Oreochromis niloticus: one gene and its partner. The protein of the gene in region 1 interacts with the protein of each later gene in a pairwise test. Links are inferred from orthologs where the notes say so. Each region holds a gene or a part of one and is shown in the gene's direction. Other genes may lie near its edges.

The links. The genes of interacting proteins can lie anywhere in the genome.
Region 2: the proteins of nudt3b (region 1) and ankyrin repeat and SOCS box protein 13 interact in a two-hybrid assay, tested with the Homo sapiens proteins (2 studies listed by BioGRID and IntAct). The link is inferred for Oreochromis niloticus from reciprocal best matches to the Homo sapiens genes NUDT3 and ASB13.

Annotation. Positions count from the first base shown.
Region 1 is NC_031970.2:9,791,032-9,798,528, forward strand, and holds the start of nudt3b (diphosphoinositol polyphosphate phosphohydrolase 1), read left to right. Parts: upstream 1-4,449; 5' UTR 4,450-4,732; coding exon 4,733-4,831; intron 4,832-6,057; coding exon 6,058-6,168; intron 6,169-7,497. UniProt on the Homo sapiens protein: Cleaves a beta-phosphate from the diphosphate groups in PP-InsP5 (diphosphoinositol pentakisphosphate) and [PP]2-InsP4 (bisdiphosphoinositol tetrakisphosphate), suggesting that it may play a role in signal transduction.
Region 2 is NC_031981.2:37,811,257-37,818,941, reverse strand, and holds the start of ankyrin repeat and SOCS box protein 13, read left to right. Parts: upstream 1-4,597; 5' UTR 4,598-4,726; coding exon 4,727-4,769; intron 4,770-7,261; coding exon 7,262-7,449; intron 7,450-7,544; coding exon 7,545-7,685. Other genes in the region: asb13a.1 (ankyrin repeat and SOCS box protein 13a.1), read left to right, coding at 608-650, 1,193-1,380, 1,646-2,012, 2,258-2,449, 2,563-2,708. UniProt on the Homo sapiens protein: May be a substrate-recognition component of a SCF-like ECS (Elongin-Cullin-SOCS-box protein) E3 ubiquitin-protein ligase complex which mediates the ubiquitination and subsequent proteasomal degradation of target proteins.

The DNA of each region.
Region 1 (7,497 bases):
TGTTTTCTAATTTCTGCTACATAACTTTGCACTTTTGCTGTAACAAAACAAATTTCCCACCTGTGGGACTAATAAAGGCCATCTTATCTTATCTTATCTTATTATACAGAGGTTTCACTGTAAGATCTGAGACTATAGCTGTTCAGGTGTTGGATTATATGAGCAGCTGCAGTTGGAGCCCATTAATATAAAGCTAACAGTATCTAATTTAGGTTAGCTAATGTGTTCTGTAGTTTGTTTTTCTTTTTTAATATAGTGTGCTTTAATATGCCTTAACTCTGATTAGTTTTCATCATTTTCAAATCATAATTAATATCCATGATTTGGAGTTCATCACTTGTTAGGTTTTGATTTTCAATATCTGTCACTTTTAATTTAAGCACACATATGCTACCAGTGACACAACGTAGAAGATAAACATCAAAGTCATGTTTCCTTTCATGAAAATTCAAACAAAAAAAAAAAGATATATATTTCAAAATGGAAAAAGGGGGGAAAGGAACATAGTAAGAATTCCTCCTTAAAATACGCATGGATCAGATCATATGGTCTAGGAATAAGAGGTCCCTTATGAACGATTTTTAAAAAAATTAATTAATTAATTTAAAAAGAAATGCTGCAGTACTGCAAGAGGTGAGCGCCCTCTTCTGGACAGGGCAGAAACTGTAACACCGCCCCTATGTGTGAATGGTTCATCAGAGACTTCCAAAGAGAATTGGTTGCCGTAGCAACAGCAGATCGTAATAGTGCAGCCTCTTGAGTGTGACCCTACACAGATATGTTTAATTGTGTAAGACCTGCTTTCCTCATCCTGAAGAGAGAGAGAGAGGCAGCATAGAAACTATATATTTCATTCTGTGCAAACAACTGTGACCCTGATGAATTTCAAATGTCTTTGCAACATGTGTTGTTTATTTTCTGTTGGGTTCATAAATCTTATGGATTCCTTGGAAGTTGGCAGGTGCTTGGAGAAAGTGAAATCAACATAGCTGAAACCCGAAACTTGATTCACTGAGAAAAATCATCAATTGAAACCATCAAAACTTCACCTGTCGCTTGGTGTCATACATTTTCTGGGTTGTTAAAGTTGATAAAGAAATAAAGAGATTAGTCAGTCTTGCAGACAAGTCTGATATAATATAGATTTTTGTAGAGAAAAAAAATCTACAACAAACAAAAAATTCTGTGGCCCCACACGTCTGTGTGTTTTCCTTGCACACTGAAAATCATCTGCTAGTAGTCAACAATAATGCTGTGGTGATGCTGAATGTGCATAATTACAGTATCATGAAGCCTTTTCTCAACAACTGAGAATGTGTTGACCCAACTCCTGCTCCTAGAAAACACTTTTTTTAATTGTTATTTTATTTTAATTACATTTATATGTTAATGTCGCATAATTTACATTAGCCCGGGGAAACACATCTAATTACATTTTTCTTTCCTGCATCTAGTAATGTATTTTAATAGCTACACACAGGAGGTGGTGGACACAATATTATGAACACCTACTGTGCCGTACAATTAGTTTCACTTTAAGGGGACTCAAGCTTTTCACTTTTTTCCCCAATAATTAATCGGGGATGTGTTTAAATAAAAATATGATACAAGTAGGACCAAATATAGGTGGCATGGTGGTCTGATGGCTAGCACTGTCACCCACACAGCAATTAGGTTCTGGTTTGAATCCAGGTTTGGGCCTTTGTCTGTGAAGTTTGCATCTTCTTCCGGTGTTTGCATGAGCTCCCATAGTCCAAAGACATATTTCGGGTTAGGAGATTCTAAATTGGCTATAGATGTAAAGGGTTAGGGTTGTGAAGATGAACTGTCTGTCTCTGTGTGTTAGTCCTGCAACAGACTGGCAATTTGTGCAGGGTCTCTCAGCCTATGAGGGTTTAATAAATGCTCCAGCCCTGTGGCAACCCTTAATTTGATAAGTGGAAGAAATGGACGAATGGGTCCAAAATACAAGCAACCTGTCACTTAGTTATAGTCTCCTCCTCACAGCCTAATGTATTTCCATGTTTAAACCTTTTAAAAGGCGTCCTTGCTCAGTGTTACATATTTTCAAATAATTACCGTAGATGTATAAAAATGTAAGCGATAAGCCTGAGTTATTCTTATTTTATAGAGATTCAATACCATAATTTCATATTAGTTTTTGATTAGCTTTGTTTGTGTTTGTTTCTCTCCTTGATTATGTCATCGAAGCAAGACTTGCCCTTTAATGAAGAGCAATCTGAGATGTGCTGAGAAGAAGGTAAGAGCCACTTCAAATGTCAACATCTGTGGGTAGAAAACTGAGAAGTAAGTGAATCGAATAAGGAGAAATTGCGTTGCTTTGATTACTGGTAGGAAATTGAGTTATTGCAGCTATGACAAAAGCAATGAAATGAGAACTTGAACAATCAATAGAAAAGACTTGAATAAGAGCTTTTTGTAAGAAATCAGCATGCTGAGGATTTGTGTGAGTTTGGTGGAAATCATGATGTGCCAGTCAGCTTAAAATAACTTCAATATTTGCCCCTTTTTTTCTTTTCTGGTTTGGTTTATTGTTTGTATTTGCAGACCTGACTAATTTAATAATAATAATAATAATAATAATGTATACTTTATTGATCCCCGTGGGGAAATTACTCTCTCTGCATTTAACCCATTCACTCAGTGAAGCAGTGGGCAGCCACTAATGGGGCGCCCGGGAAGCAGTGTGTAGGGACGGTAACTTGCTCAGGGGTACCTCAGGGTAGCTGTCCAGTGGGGGGGCGGCCATGCTACCTACTGAGCTATCCCTGCCCCAATTTTTCACACAGAAAACATTTCAACTGACACTAAAGAGTTTTCATTCATGTCCGCTTAACTGCTCTTTATTATTCCATGAACTTTGAACTGTTTGAACTGTTTTTTGTGGGGGGTTTTGTGGTGGTGGTTTCTTGTTTTTTCTTTACACACATCATTAAAATACTGTAAATGAACTTGTTTGCTTGTATGACAGCTGAGATTCATGTCCGTGTTTTTTGGGTTTGTGTGTGAAATTGAGACATTCAACAATAAAGCATTTTTGTTTTATTGTTTGCTGTGGCCCACTCCTTCACACTGCAGTTACATCAGATTCATCCTCCGTTGTTAAGGACAGGGTTTTGTTGTGTGGTTGGTGAGTTTATGTAACAAATTCAATTTAAAATTCAATTTTGAGTTCCCACAATTAAGTCGCTGCAATAATGAGATTAAACTGATTATTTAGGGACCTGAACAGGTTTGTAAGACTGTGACTCACTGTTTATTCATTTATAATAATGCAAATGCAGAGCAAAGTGCTTTTTTTAGCAACATCGACAAGCCCAGACCATCCAATGCTGTTTAAAGCTCTGCTTTCCTAAATTCTTTTAGAATTTAGTTTACATGAAAGGTTCCAGTTTTGGTTCAATCAAATCTCATGTAAACAGTTAAAACAGATGTTAAACGAGACTGAAAAAGCTACATTTCTTTTCCAAATATTAGAAGACATCAATGAAATAGACTTCTGCATTGTTGGTAGACTTTGGCAAGCAAAAAAGAGAGATATTTATATGTCTTATCCAAGTTATAACAATGCAGAAAACCCTGATAAGATTCAGACTTTGGTCAACCTTTCCTGGAAAGCAAAGATAAAGATTCAGAAATGTCTTTGTGATCTAACTGAGGGCACAAGGGTGTTCTTTCTGATCGATACGCTATTTGCTTCTATGTTGATTTAGCATGCACTGTTAGAGCCACAGCCTGCTCTGCAGATATGGGGCATTAGATAGTACTAGATGAAGAATAAAAGAAGATTAGTGGAGCACTTTCAAATGTATTTTTTTAACCTGTATAAAAAAGTCTAGAGAGACCCAAAGCCATTACAGTGTGTAATTATAGTTTATAATTATTATTGGAAAATGTGTTTTCACAAGCATCTGAGCAATTAAATACTAAAACTCCCATGTAGAGATAACAAGGTTGAAAATCAACATGATAGTAGACTATCCACCTTAATTAAAAGATATTTTTATTATAGGTCAATCCAGTTTTACTCTTTATAATTGATTAACCATTTCTATTATTTAGGTATTTTTGCAGCTATTTTCCATTTGAAGTACATTAGGATTTGACAAAAATACATTTGATGCCTTACTTGAATTTTGTGTTTGCCTAAAAACCGCTTTTCTCACATTATATGCTTACATTGTCGGATCTATTTTGAGGGCCATTCCTGCGCTGTCCATTACCTGCGGTGCTGAAACTGATGAATTAACCTGGTGTGTCTTTTTCTAATGTGAGCAGCAAACTAATTTGATTACGCTAAATACGATGTTTCCCCAAATAAAAAGTCATATAAATTAATATCGGCATCAGATAAGCAGACCGGGCCATCTAGTTGGAGCCTAACGTGCCAGTTCCCTTTACCGGCTCACTCCAGTCAGAGCGTGGTGCTGCGTTTCCCCCCACGCTTCGTTGCCCTAATTCTTCAACCCCTGATAGGTAAATTTCTTACGCTCGCCAAGCTATTAATGGTTAAACTACGTCGTGGGCGTAGCGGCTCCTTGTAATGGCGACCGTGCCGTAGATGTTCCCAGGTTTGTGAAAATGAAGCGAAGAAGAAGTTATTTCTTTTAAGTAAAACGCCGAGGTTCCCCGCAGGAGGACTTTGCGTCTACAACCATCGTCTTTATAAGTGGCAAACATAGCTGTACTTTTGAACTTTTACGCTCCCGAAATGATGAAGCTCAAGTCAAACCAAACCCGGACGTACGACGGGGATGGCTACAAGAAGCGGGCCGCTTGCCTGTGCTTCAGGAGCGAGAGCGAGGAGGAGGTGAGTTCGGTGATGTGAACTGTCTGGCGGGCCAAGCTAATATTAGCATCCGTAGGTTTTATCCAGCCTTTTCTGTTGTATGTAGATCGACACGTTTATCAACACGGCTTTGGTTTTATCCCAGCTGGAAAAGGATTTCTTTTATTCTCGTGTCGACTCCCGACGTTATGATTATTCACTATTTTTCAGCTGGTACTTACCCGAGTGTTATGTAAGCCTCTTTAGCAGTGCAGATAGCAGCCTCGGTTATGATCAGACTTACTAGCTCCGCGCTAATGCTAACGTTAGCTTGCTAACTACCCGGGTTGCTGCCGTGGGCAGCCGGCTATCGGCCAGGAACCACAGCCCACAGTACAGGCTGTGGTGAGTGCTGACTCTATTACTACCAGCTGTCGGATGGACAGAGAATATTTAGTATTTAAAGCGACAGCTAAGATATGTATCTGCTCGCGTTACAGATAGTTTGGCGAGCTAAGTGTATTGTGTTAATGCAACTAGCCAAACATTGTACTGCTATGTAGCTAGTAGCTATCCTAGTTTAAGCCAGAAGATGACTCTGGCAGTGATAGCCGGCTTGCTTGTATCACTTGTGTATTTTGATTAGTTTGTTTGCGAAATTGACACTGTTGATATTTGGAGCACCAGCTTAATGGGAGCGTCGAGCCCCGTGTGCACATTTTACAACATCGCTTATTAATGTTGCTATTTGTGTATTTATCGCTCCTATCTAGCCGTATCAGAAAAAGCGAAAACGTGTTGTGGATTACTTGAGCTCAGTCACGATTTAGGACGCTCACGTACAGTCAAAAGGAGACACAAAGATGCCTTTGTACTTAAAACATTTTACTAGGGGAGGAGATGGGACCAAACCAATTCCCCATTTTGCTTAAAGTAAAGGCCAGACTGTGTAGACACGGGTTGTTGATTACAGGAAACGTATCAGCATTACCAGCACCAAAGTGGAAACTTTTACCTAAGACTGTAGTTTATCTGACTGACACCTAGGCGTTCCACAGTTCATCTCCACTAAGAACCCAACATCTAAACTAGTTCACTAGCTATGATTTATTGACAGTAATAAAAGTACTAGTTATTTTAAACCCAATGGGTTATCATTTCCATTTTTCTTGAAGTTGTATTTTTCGATGTCCCAGTTGATATTATGTGAACAGTAACTCAGAGTTGGACTGTCATACCTGACCAGTATTATATGGGGTGTTTTGCAGGTGCTACTGGTGAGCAGTAGTCGACATCCTGACAAGTGGATAGTTCCTGGAGGGGGAATGGAGCCCGAAGAGGAGCCCAATGTTGCAGCAGCTCGAGAAGTGTGTGAAGAGGTCAGTTGTGTCACTCAATATTGTTATATCTTATTTAAGCCTGTAGCATGATGGCCTTTTCTCTTTGGTTTTCCAAGTGACAGATGTTGTCTCTATGTACACTGCGTACTGGGAACCTTAACATGATCTTTTTCAGAAATGTCAGTAGCTGGAAATATAATTCTCAGAAAGTGTGGCAAATTTGTTTGACTATAGACTCATAAGATGTATTGTATTACAATTCTGTTAACTCGTGTCTGTATTTAACACTGAGCCTGATACCTTGTTCTCAAAATCCATTTTGTCAATGTAGTCATCCTGTTTGCATGGACTGTAAGAGAGAGAGAGCCTAGCAACATGTAAGCTGTATCATAGCATCATGTTACAAAGCAGTCTTTAGGTGTCAAAGGAGGTCACACAGAGATTGAACACTGGCTGCACAGTAGTTTGACTGCAGTACAGTCAAGTCACACAAACGCAGAAAATGACAACAATTGAGTTTTATTGTTTGTACGTTTTCTCGTAGCTATATATATTAGTATACAGTAGTGGTCACATTACAAGGGCAGCTTGGAGGACACAACATGTTGTTTTTGTTGTTCTGTATTGGGGTGGATGGGTAGTAATTAGTAAACGGTTCTGAAGCTAATTGGAAATCAATATTCTACTTATACTGCTTACGCCTGTTTGTTAAATCAGGTATTCTTCCACTCTGCATGCTGTTCATCCTTTGGATATTTTGATCAGAACGGACACAGGGCACATAAGACACTGAATCTCACCCGGCAGTTGGCTCCTAGTGGGCCGCTGACCTTATAAAGCCTATCCTCTCTGTGTGATCCATCACACTGATGGATGCTGATATCATCCCTTATCCTGGCTCCTGCTGATTGGTAGCTTTGGTGGTTGCAGGACACTGAGGCCTGCCAGCAAATTTCCACAGGGTCAAAAGCAATGTCACATCACTGCTCAGGCTCCTTATGTGCTAAAAGGCAACATTCAGAAACTTTGTGCTGCTTGACACATCACCAACTACATTGGCTTTCTAAGCCTCTTATTGGACGATGGTGTAACAGGACATATCCTAATCCTGGTGAGCCTGTTCTGATTACCATATGAGTGATTGCTTATGCTTATTGGTTTGGAGTCTCTCCAGGGATGAGAGTGAAGACAAGGCATGCAGTAGCAAGCCAAAATTTACAGAGGGTTTCTTTGTTAGACTGTTCACTATCTTTGCTTATCCTTGTATTATGGAGATGCACCCTGACCCTGCAACCTGAAGACGCATTGCATAACTGGTAACGAAGTCTCAGCTGTACATCCTCTTCCCAAGTGTTGAAGTGTTGCCCA
Region 2 (7,685 bases), on another chromosome or scaffold:
TTTGTAATGTCTGCTTCTACACATCTTTATCCAGACAACATTTGGTAGTGCGTCATAATGGATGAAAGCTGGAACTTGTAATACTGGGTCACCAGGTAAAAACACTGCCTTCATCAGTTCCATGGATCTAACACACAAACACATGCTGATGGTTAGTGCCAAGCTAAAGAAACTAAAACGAGCTTCTTGGACACACAGCAAGTCAGTTTTCTTATCAAAGGCATCCGTGGGACAAACATGGTGAGCAGAAGAAAAGATGAAGCCCAGGAGCTGCAGCTGTCGAAGCACTACTGTAGCCTTGAATCACGCACGGCAGAGTTATCATACGTTGTTCGCATCACTGTATAAACGAGCCTTTAATGCTTTAAAGGTAGCTGGTCTATGATTACTGACTCGCTTAAAAATAAAAAAAATCGTTCCGAGTAACCAATCTAGGAAATGGATTTTGACACTTCCGCGTTCGCTTTATCTCTGAGCTCTGCAGAGTCCTCGTCTGGTTTTCAGATCGCTACTACAATTCCCATAATGCCGCGCTGGCTTTACGTTCGACCCTTTCAGCGTTTACTAATGTGTGTCTGTAGAGCACCGTGTGTGGTAACCGGTAATCATGGAGGTGACAGCAGCCCGCCGCTCGTTTCTGTGCGACATCGGTAAGCATGAAGCATCGTCAGCAGTTAATAATTTACACCCCAGCTCACATCTACGGGAACGGCTGACGGCTGAAACCGTATGTTCACTGCCAAAAGCGGGTTTTAACCGGGAAATGTAGGCGGAGAGTAACAACTGAGAGTCCCGTCAGTGCTGTGTCGAGAAAGTTCAGCCGTTACACAGACCAAGTCATTTGGTAGCTAACTGGCTTATAGCTGGGTAACATGCTCGGTTTTTCTCTGTAAATGAAGAAAAATGCGACATTCGAGGAGTACACTATAACTAATGGACGTATGCACTAAACATGATGAATGAGGGGGAAAGACTTTTATAGTTATTTCTGTAATCAGTCTAAATATTGCCCTTGTTCATATATTTGTAATAGACACTTTGCCATGACATTGACGGATATTGACAGAATAGACGTATTCCACCCAGTACTGCTGCCATGTTTACTGGGTTTACACATGCACTGGTTAATGGAAGCTGTTTCAGCTGTCTCTTTGCTGTTGTGCTAATGTGTGTGTGTGTGTGTGTGTGTGAGGCTTCTGGGCAGACCGCACGGCTCTGCACGAAGCAGCATCCCACGGCAGGGCTTTGCAGTTGAAGCAGCTGATAGAAAACGGAGCGTCTGTCAACATGGTGACTGTGGATAACATCACGCCTCTACATGAAGCCTGCATCCAGGCTCATCCAAACTGTGCTCGCCTGCTGCTGGAGGCAGGAGCCCAGGTGAGGCACAGCTTCACTCTACAAGCCTGACTCGTGTAGAGTCTTGGGGTCGCACACCTTAACACAGCAGGTACAAAATGATGCTATCTGGTGCAGAATCCCACTGCTGGTACGTGAGATCTGTGAAGCATCAGCAAGAGTCTCTCCCTCTGTGACAGTCTCACAAACGATAACTACTGTTTCTGTTGTTCAGGTCTTAACATGGCCCTACAATTTGGTAGATTACCTAAAGAATAGACAGATAATGTTCATCTGTTTGCTCCAGGTGGATGTACGCACCATCCATGGTAGCACGCCTCTTTGTAATGCTTGTGCGGCTGGCAGCCTGGAATGTGCCAAGCTGTTGTTGGACTATGGAGCCAAAGTGAACCCGTCCCTCACGGCTCTCACTGCCTCACCGCTCCATGAGGCCTGCATACAAGGTAAACCTTCAGCAGGAACAACACCCTGTCATGCTATCACGTCTCCCTATGAACGACACTTCACATTCCTCTCAGGTAATCCCCAAGTTGTGAGACTGCTGATAGCCAGTGGTGCCAAGCTGGAGGCATTTGACGTCCACTTTGGTCCTCCCCTTCACATAGCATGTGCTAAAGGACATCTGAATTGTGTCAAGGAGCTGCTAACTGCAGGTGTGTTAAAGGTGCAATGTATGGTTGTTTTATTTTGAAAGTTCAGTTGGTGATAGCCAGTTTCCTACAGAGAGTGCTGCAGCTAATCAAAGCTGTCAGAGGGCGAGAGGCGGGGTTCATTCTGGATAAGTGTCCAGTTTGTCACAGGGCTGAGACAGACAGCTGTTCACTCATACTAACAGCTATACCATTTAACCTGTGCATGTCTTTGGACTAAGACCTTTAAATCATTGTGAATTATGCAGGTGCTAATGTGAATGCAGTGAAGTTCCATGAAATAGCGTTGCATCACGCAGCTCGGGTCAGTATGGTGGAAATGATTGAGCTGCTGGTGGAGTTTGGAGCCAATGTGTACGCCAGCGACAACCTGGGAAGAAAGCCTATAGACTACACAACACCTGCATCTCCCTCGTACACCTGCCTCAGGTTTTATGAAAGTAAAGTTCTGCGTTCTGTCTGAGTTACAGCAAAAAAGTTCAAGTTCTTATGTTCTTGCTCTTTTTTTGCTTTTGAGGCCTGATCGTCTTATTAAAACATTTGTTGTTGACAGGTAATCCTTTGAGCCTGCAGCAGCTTTGCAGGATTGCTGTGAGGAGGATGCTGGGTACCAGAGCATCAGAGGTCCTGAGTCAGCTGAATATATCCCACCGCATCAACAGCTACCTCCAGTACTGTGATCATCCCATATCCCTATAGACCTACACATGAACATTATAAAAGGTTTAAAATGTCCCCACAAAATGTTTGCCATTCAGATGAAACACATGTAACCAGGATGAAAATATCTGTACGCAGTCAGTTCAACATTGTATGTCAAATTAAACCAATTCATTGCTGAATGAGAAAAAGCATTTCCTTATATAAATCTCTGTTTCAGCACTCTGACAATTTCCAACACATTTATAACACATAAGGCTGGGTGTCAAGTCCTTTTATCGCCTCAGCTGTGATGGACAGGGGGACTGTCATCTCTCTCTACTCCACATTACGCGACACCGGCCAGACTACCAAAATTACTCCAAGAGCACATCAGTGACTCAGGTCAAGTTATTTTACCCTGCTGGGATATAAGCTGGCCAAAGGAGGAGACAGAAGTCAGTGACATCAAGACCAGGAAGCTCCTGACCATGCACGGATGGTTTCACCCCAAGTCCAGCACCCTGAGGCTGTACGCTAAGCAGAAGGACGGAGGCCGGGGACTGGTGAGCGTCAGCACCACAGTCCAGGATGAGACAACAAACATCCACAAATACATCAGGAAGATGGCCCCAACCAAATGCATGCTAGGTGAATACCTCAGGCAGCAGAAACCCGAGGAAGAGGAGGAACCATCATGGAAGGACAGGAACTGCATCCCCAGACAGAGGAAGTGGCTGACATAAAGAAATCCTACCAGTGGCTGGACTGAAAGACAGCACAGAGGCACTAATCATGGCAGCACAGGAACAAGCTCTGAGCACACGCTCCATAGAGGCTGGGGTCTATCACACCAGGCAAGACCCCAGGCTGTGTAAAGATGCCCCTGAGACAATCGATGAATGGCTGTCCTGTTTGGGTACTGCTCACCAGGAGATGCTACATGAAAAGAGATGAAACAGTTGTTTGGTACAGGACAAACAGATTAGTTAGGTGACGGTGATGGATTTAGAGTAAAGAACAGTGTGTGACTCGTAATCAGAATTAGATTACATCAAGTGTAGCTGATGACACTTAGATTAATTCACTGAATTCCACCTTCATGCCAACTTTATACCATCTAGTATGAAGACAGCATAAACAGTGTACTGTCAGTGTAGGGACTGGAAATCAGCCAAGCAAGCTTGTCAGATATTGGGTTACATACTGTTCAATTCAGTTATGTAAATGGTCAAAGAGCAGTAAACCTCAGAGCAGCAGCAGTTACACAGGTCAGCTGATCAAAGCCTGTTCAGAGACAATCTACAGGAGCTCTCAACAGAAATATTGTGAGTGGTAAATCTTCCTGTACTTTTACCACCTCTACCTGCAGGGCAGCTTACTCTGTGGTTCCAACACCAGCTGTTGTGTGAAACAGCTGTTAAATACACCAGATTATAGTTTCATCTTTGATCGTGACCAGGCGTATTGTTCAGGACAGGTTCCTTATACCGAGGCTGAGTTGCTCACCTGGTGAGGATTTGTTTGGATCTCTGTGTTTGCCATGGATTCAATAACAGTTATTTCTATATAATCTAAGGATTTTACATGGGCCTGAAAATCGCACCAGTTTTCAACTCTTTCTTATTGATAATCAAATAGATCTAAATTTAAATTCTGTTATTAATCAATTATCTAATATCCCATTAAATCCTGAGCCACGGGGGTCATGAATGTTTAGAAAGTCAAGTATTTGTCAATGTATTTTTGATATTGTATGTTATCCATATTATTTATTTATGAATTGCGTTTAATATGTGACATCACGGCGTCATATGTTGCTAAGGGCTTTTTACTGCACAGATTTTCATAGATTATTATTTAATCTGAGGTAGAATAAGTATTTGTTGTACTCTCCACGCGTGAAACAGTTTTATTTGGGGTAAAAACTACAAAGTCCAACATGCCCGCGGAGGTCGGGTTTTGTCACGTGACTCCTGCCGCATGTAGAGAGCGAGGACGCGACTGTTTACAAACAGCTCGTTTGTCCCCGCGTTTCATGTCAGCCGAGCTTGTTCTGCGGGGGAAGTATTCGGAGGATGGACACTGAAAAGTCTCGGCCCTATTTCTTTGGCGACATCGGTGAGTATGAGCGCAGACAACATGGCCGGCGAGACTGTCGTTTAATCGAGCCGTGGCCGAGTTTGACGTCAGCTTGGCTGTAGCTAGCAGGTAATAACAGCTGGCATAGAGAGAATTTATTCACCTGGAAAACGTGACGAAAAAGAAGTGGCAGGCGGTAACTTACACAACAATGGTCGCCATACAAAACCCAAACACGCACTGAGCTGTGAACCATAAACTATTACAATCAATCACAACCACTGATCAAAGATCATTGATCGGTGGTTGTTGATCAATGGTCTTGACAATTAGCATATTGTTGGTCAGTGGTGCTAGTTTGAGTCATCGTGTAAATGTCCTGTTTATAAGGTTGGGGAAACCTGCAGTCAGCTGGGACTGAAGAAGTCACTGGATGATGATGAAACGTTTCTCGCTACGTCCAGATGAACAGAATCAACATTTTTTCCTTACCTGGATGATTGAGACATACACTTGACTTTGTCTCTGTAGAGGATGTGATATTAAGGATGCAAAATGAACTATACAAAGATCCAAGAAGCTTTACGACAGCGCGGTCTGAGATGAAGGGAGAGAGATTCTTTTACTTTGGCATGTTTTCATTTATGTCCATTTTTAGATTTGACTAGGCAGCTTGCACTGATGGAAAGCCACTGGCACACAGTATGAGTGTATATGAAATGGATTGTGGGAGGAAGTTCATGCAACCCCACAAAGAGCAAATAAAGCTGGAACAAAGGGTCCCAAGAAACTTGAACCTGGTTCTCTTGGAGTGTGGTGACCGTGCTAAGCACTGTACCACACTATCACCACACAGGTCCCCTTTAATGGGTGGTTGGACTTGGCCCCAGGTGTGGATGCAAGCTAAGTAAAAACAGAAGAAAAGGTGAATGCGTCTCTTAGAATTACACACACTGACCATCACACATTGGTCACCGAGTGGTAGAAAAGCTAGAAAAGTACTAATTCTGTATATATTTATTTGTATATCTGTGCAAATGTCAATGTCCACTTTATTTATGCAAGTGGTGAAGAGATGACTGACCTGCACCAACATAAAGGGAACTGCAGTAATCTGGGCACGTTGATATGAAACATGGCTCAATCTTTCAAAATCCTTAGGAAATAAAGTTTTACCTTAGCAAGAAGTCGTAACTGAATAAAGCTTATGAAGCTTATTTGCTTTGTGAATTTAAAGGAGCTGTCAAAAAATACGCCAAGATGCCTGACAGAGGAGCGATTGAACGACAGAAAACGCTCAAGAATGGTTTTGGAAAGATCTGATCTCCTAAATACTGTAACCTCCATTTTGTTATTGTTGAGGAGGAGGAAGTTTGAGTCCATCCAGACTTTTATATCAGCCAAACAGTCCAATAACAGTTTCACAGAGTTGTCTTCATGCATGCTCAGTCATCCAGGTAAGTAAATCCCAAAAAGTTGATTCTGTTCAACTTTTTGGGATCCAAAAAGTTTCTCTCACTGAAAACACTACGTCCAAGACTTGTTAGTTTTTTTATGAAATGGCAGATAGAGTTGAATGTCATCAGCAAAGCAGTGGAAAGAGATATTATATTTAAAATAAAAATAGACCCTAGAGCCAACATACATAAGGAAAATAAGAAGATAGGGTTCCCCTAGGATGGATCCTTGAGGAACTCCACAAGTAAGAGGTGCTGCAGCTGAGGAATAAGCATCTGTCTGGACTGAGAAGCTCCTATTCATAAAGTGAACCACTGTACAGCAGTTCCCTTAATGCCCACAATGCTCGAGCCTCATAACAGGATACTGTGATCTACAGTGTCGGCTGGGATCTACGAGCATCAGAAAAGCAGGGGTTCCCATAGATGCGCAGTGAGATCATCTTTCTCTCAGCCGAAGAAGGCCGAGAGAAAGATGATTGGACTAGAATAGTGATGTCACAAACAGCTTGAGAGCGTGGGAAAGTGGAAGTGATGTGAAGTTTAGATTTAGCCGGAGACACCTGGGAGCAGACAGATGTGAGCTTCCTTATTAAACCTGCGCGTACGCTTCATTTAAAGCTGATAAACACACAGGATCACACTGGTTTAAAGCAGCAGGGCACGATGGATAAGTAAGACACGCCCAGTAGGGATCAGTACTACAAATACTTCTGAAAACCTCAAATCTGATATTTTTGCCGTGAAAAACTATTAAAATTTTTCACAAAGTTTACTGGAAGCTGTAGAGGCGAATGAGTTAGAAGGATTTGAAATGACTGTTAGAAGAGATTTAGCAACTTTTACAGCATTTTGATATTCATGTAAACAGTCCTTCAAGATTCCTAAGGACACACGCGGTTTGTCTTTTTTCCATCGTCTCTCGGCTTGTCTGCATTCAGCCCGACGCTGCGAGTGTATAGGTGTTCCACAGGTAACATGCAGACTGAGAAACGCCAGCAGAACAACTACTATAAATGAAATGGTGGAAATGTGATGAGGTTTCAGTTCATGATTGAACCTGCTCCTCTGCAGGCTGCTGGGCGGAGCGAACAGAGGTGCACAAGGCAGCGTCGCTCGGTCAGGCCTCCCAACTGGAGGAGCTCATTCAGGGCGGAGCCTCGGTCAACATGGTGGCCGTGGATTCCATCACACCGCTGCACGAGGCGTGCCTCCACGGACAGGCCAAGTGCGTGCAGCTGCTGCTTGAGGCTGGAGCTCAGGTGAATCACAGACACAGTCTGTCAAACTGGAGATCACATTTCTTGCAAACAAGCTTGCTTGATGAGCAACACTCTGTTCCCCATCATGCTGTCAGGTGGATGCAAGGAATGTGGATGGAAGTACCCCGCTGTGCGATGCCTGTTCAGCTGGTAGTTTGGAGTGTGTGAGGCTTTTGCTGCAGTACGGTGCCAAGGCGAACCCTGCCCTCACCTCCCGCACAGCCTCACCCCTGCAC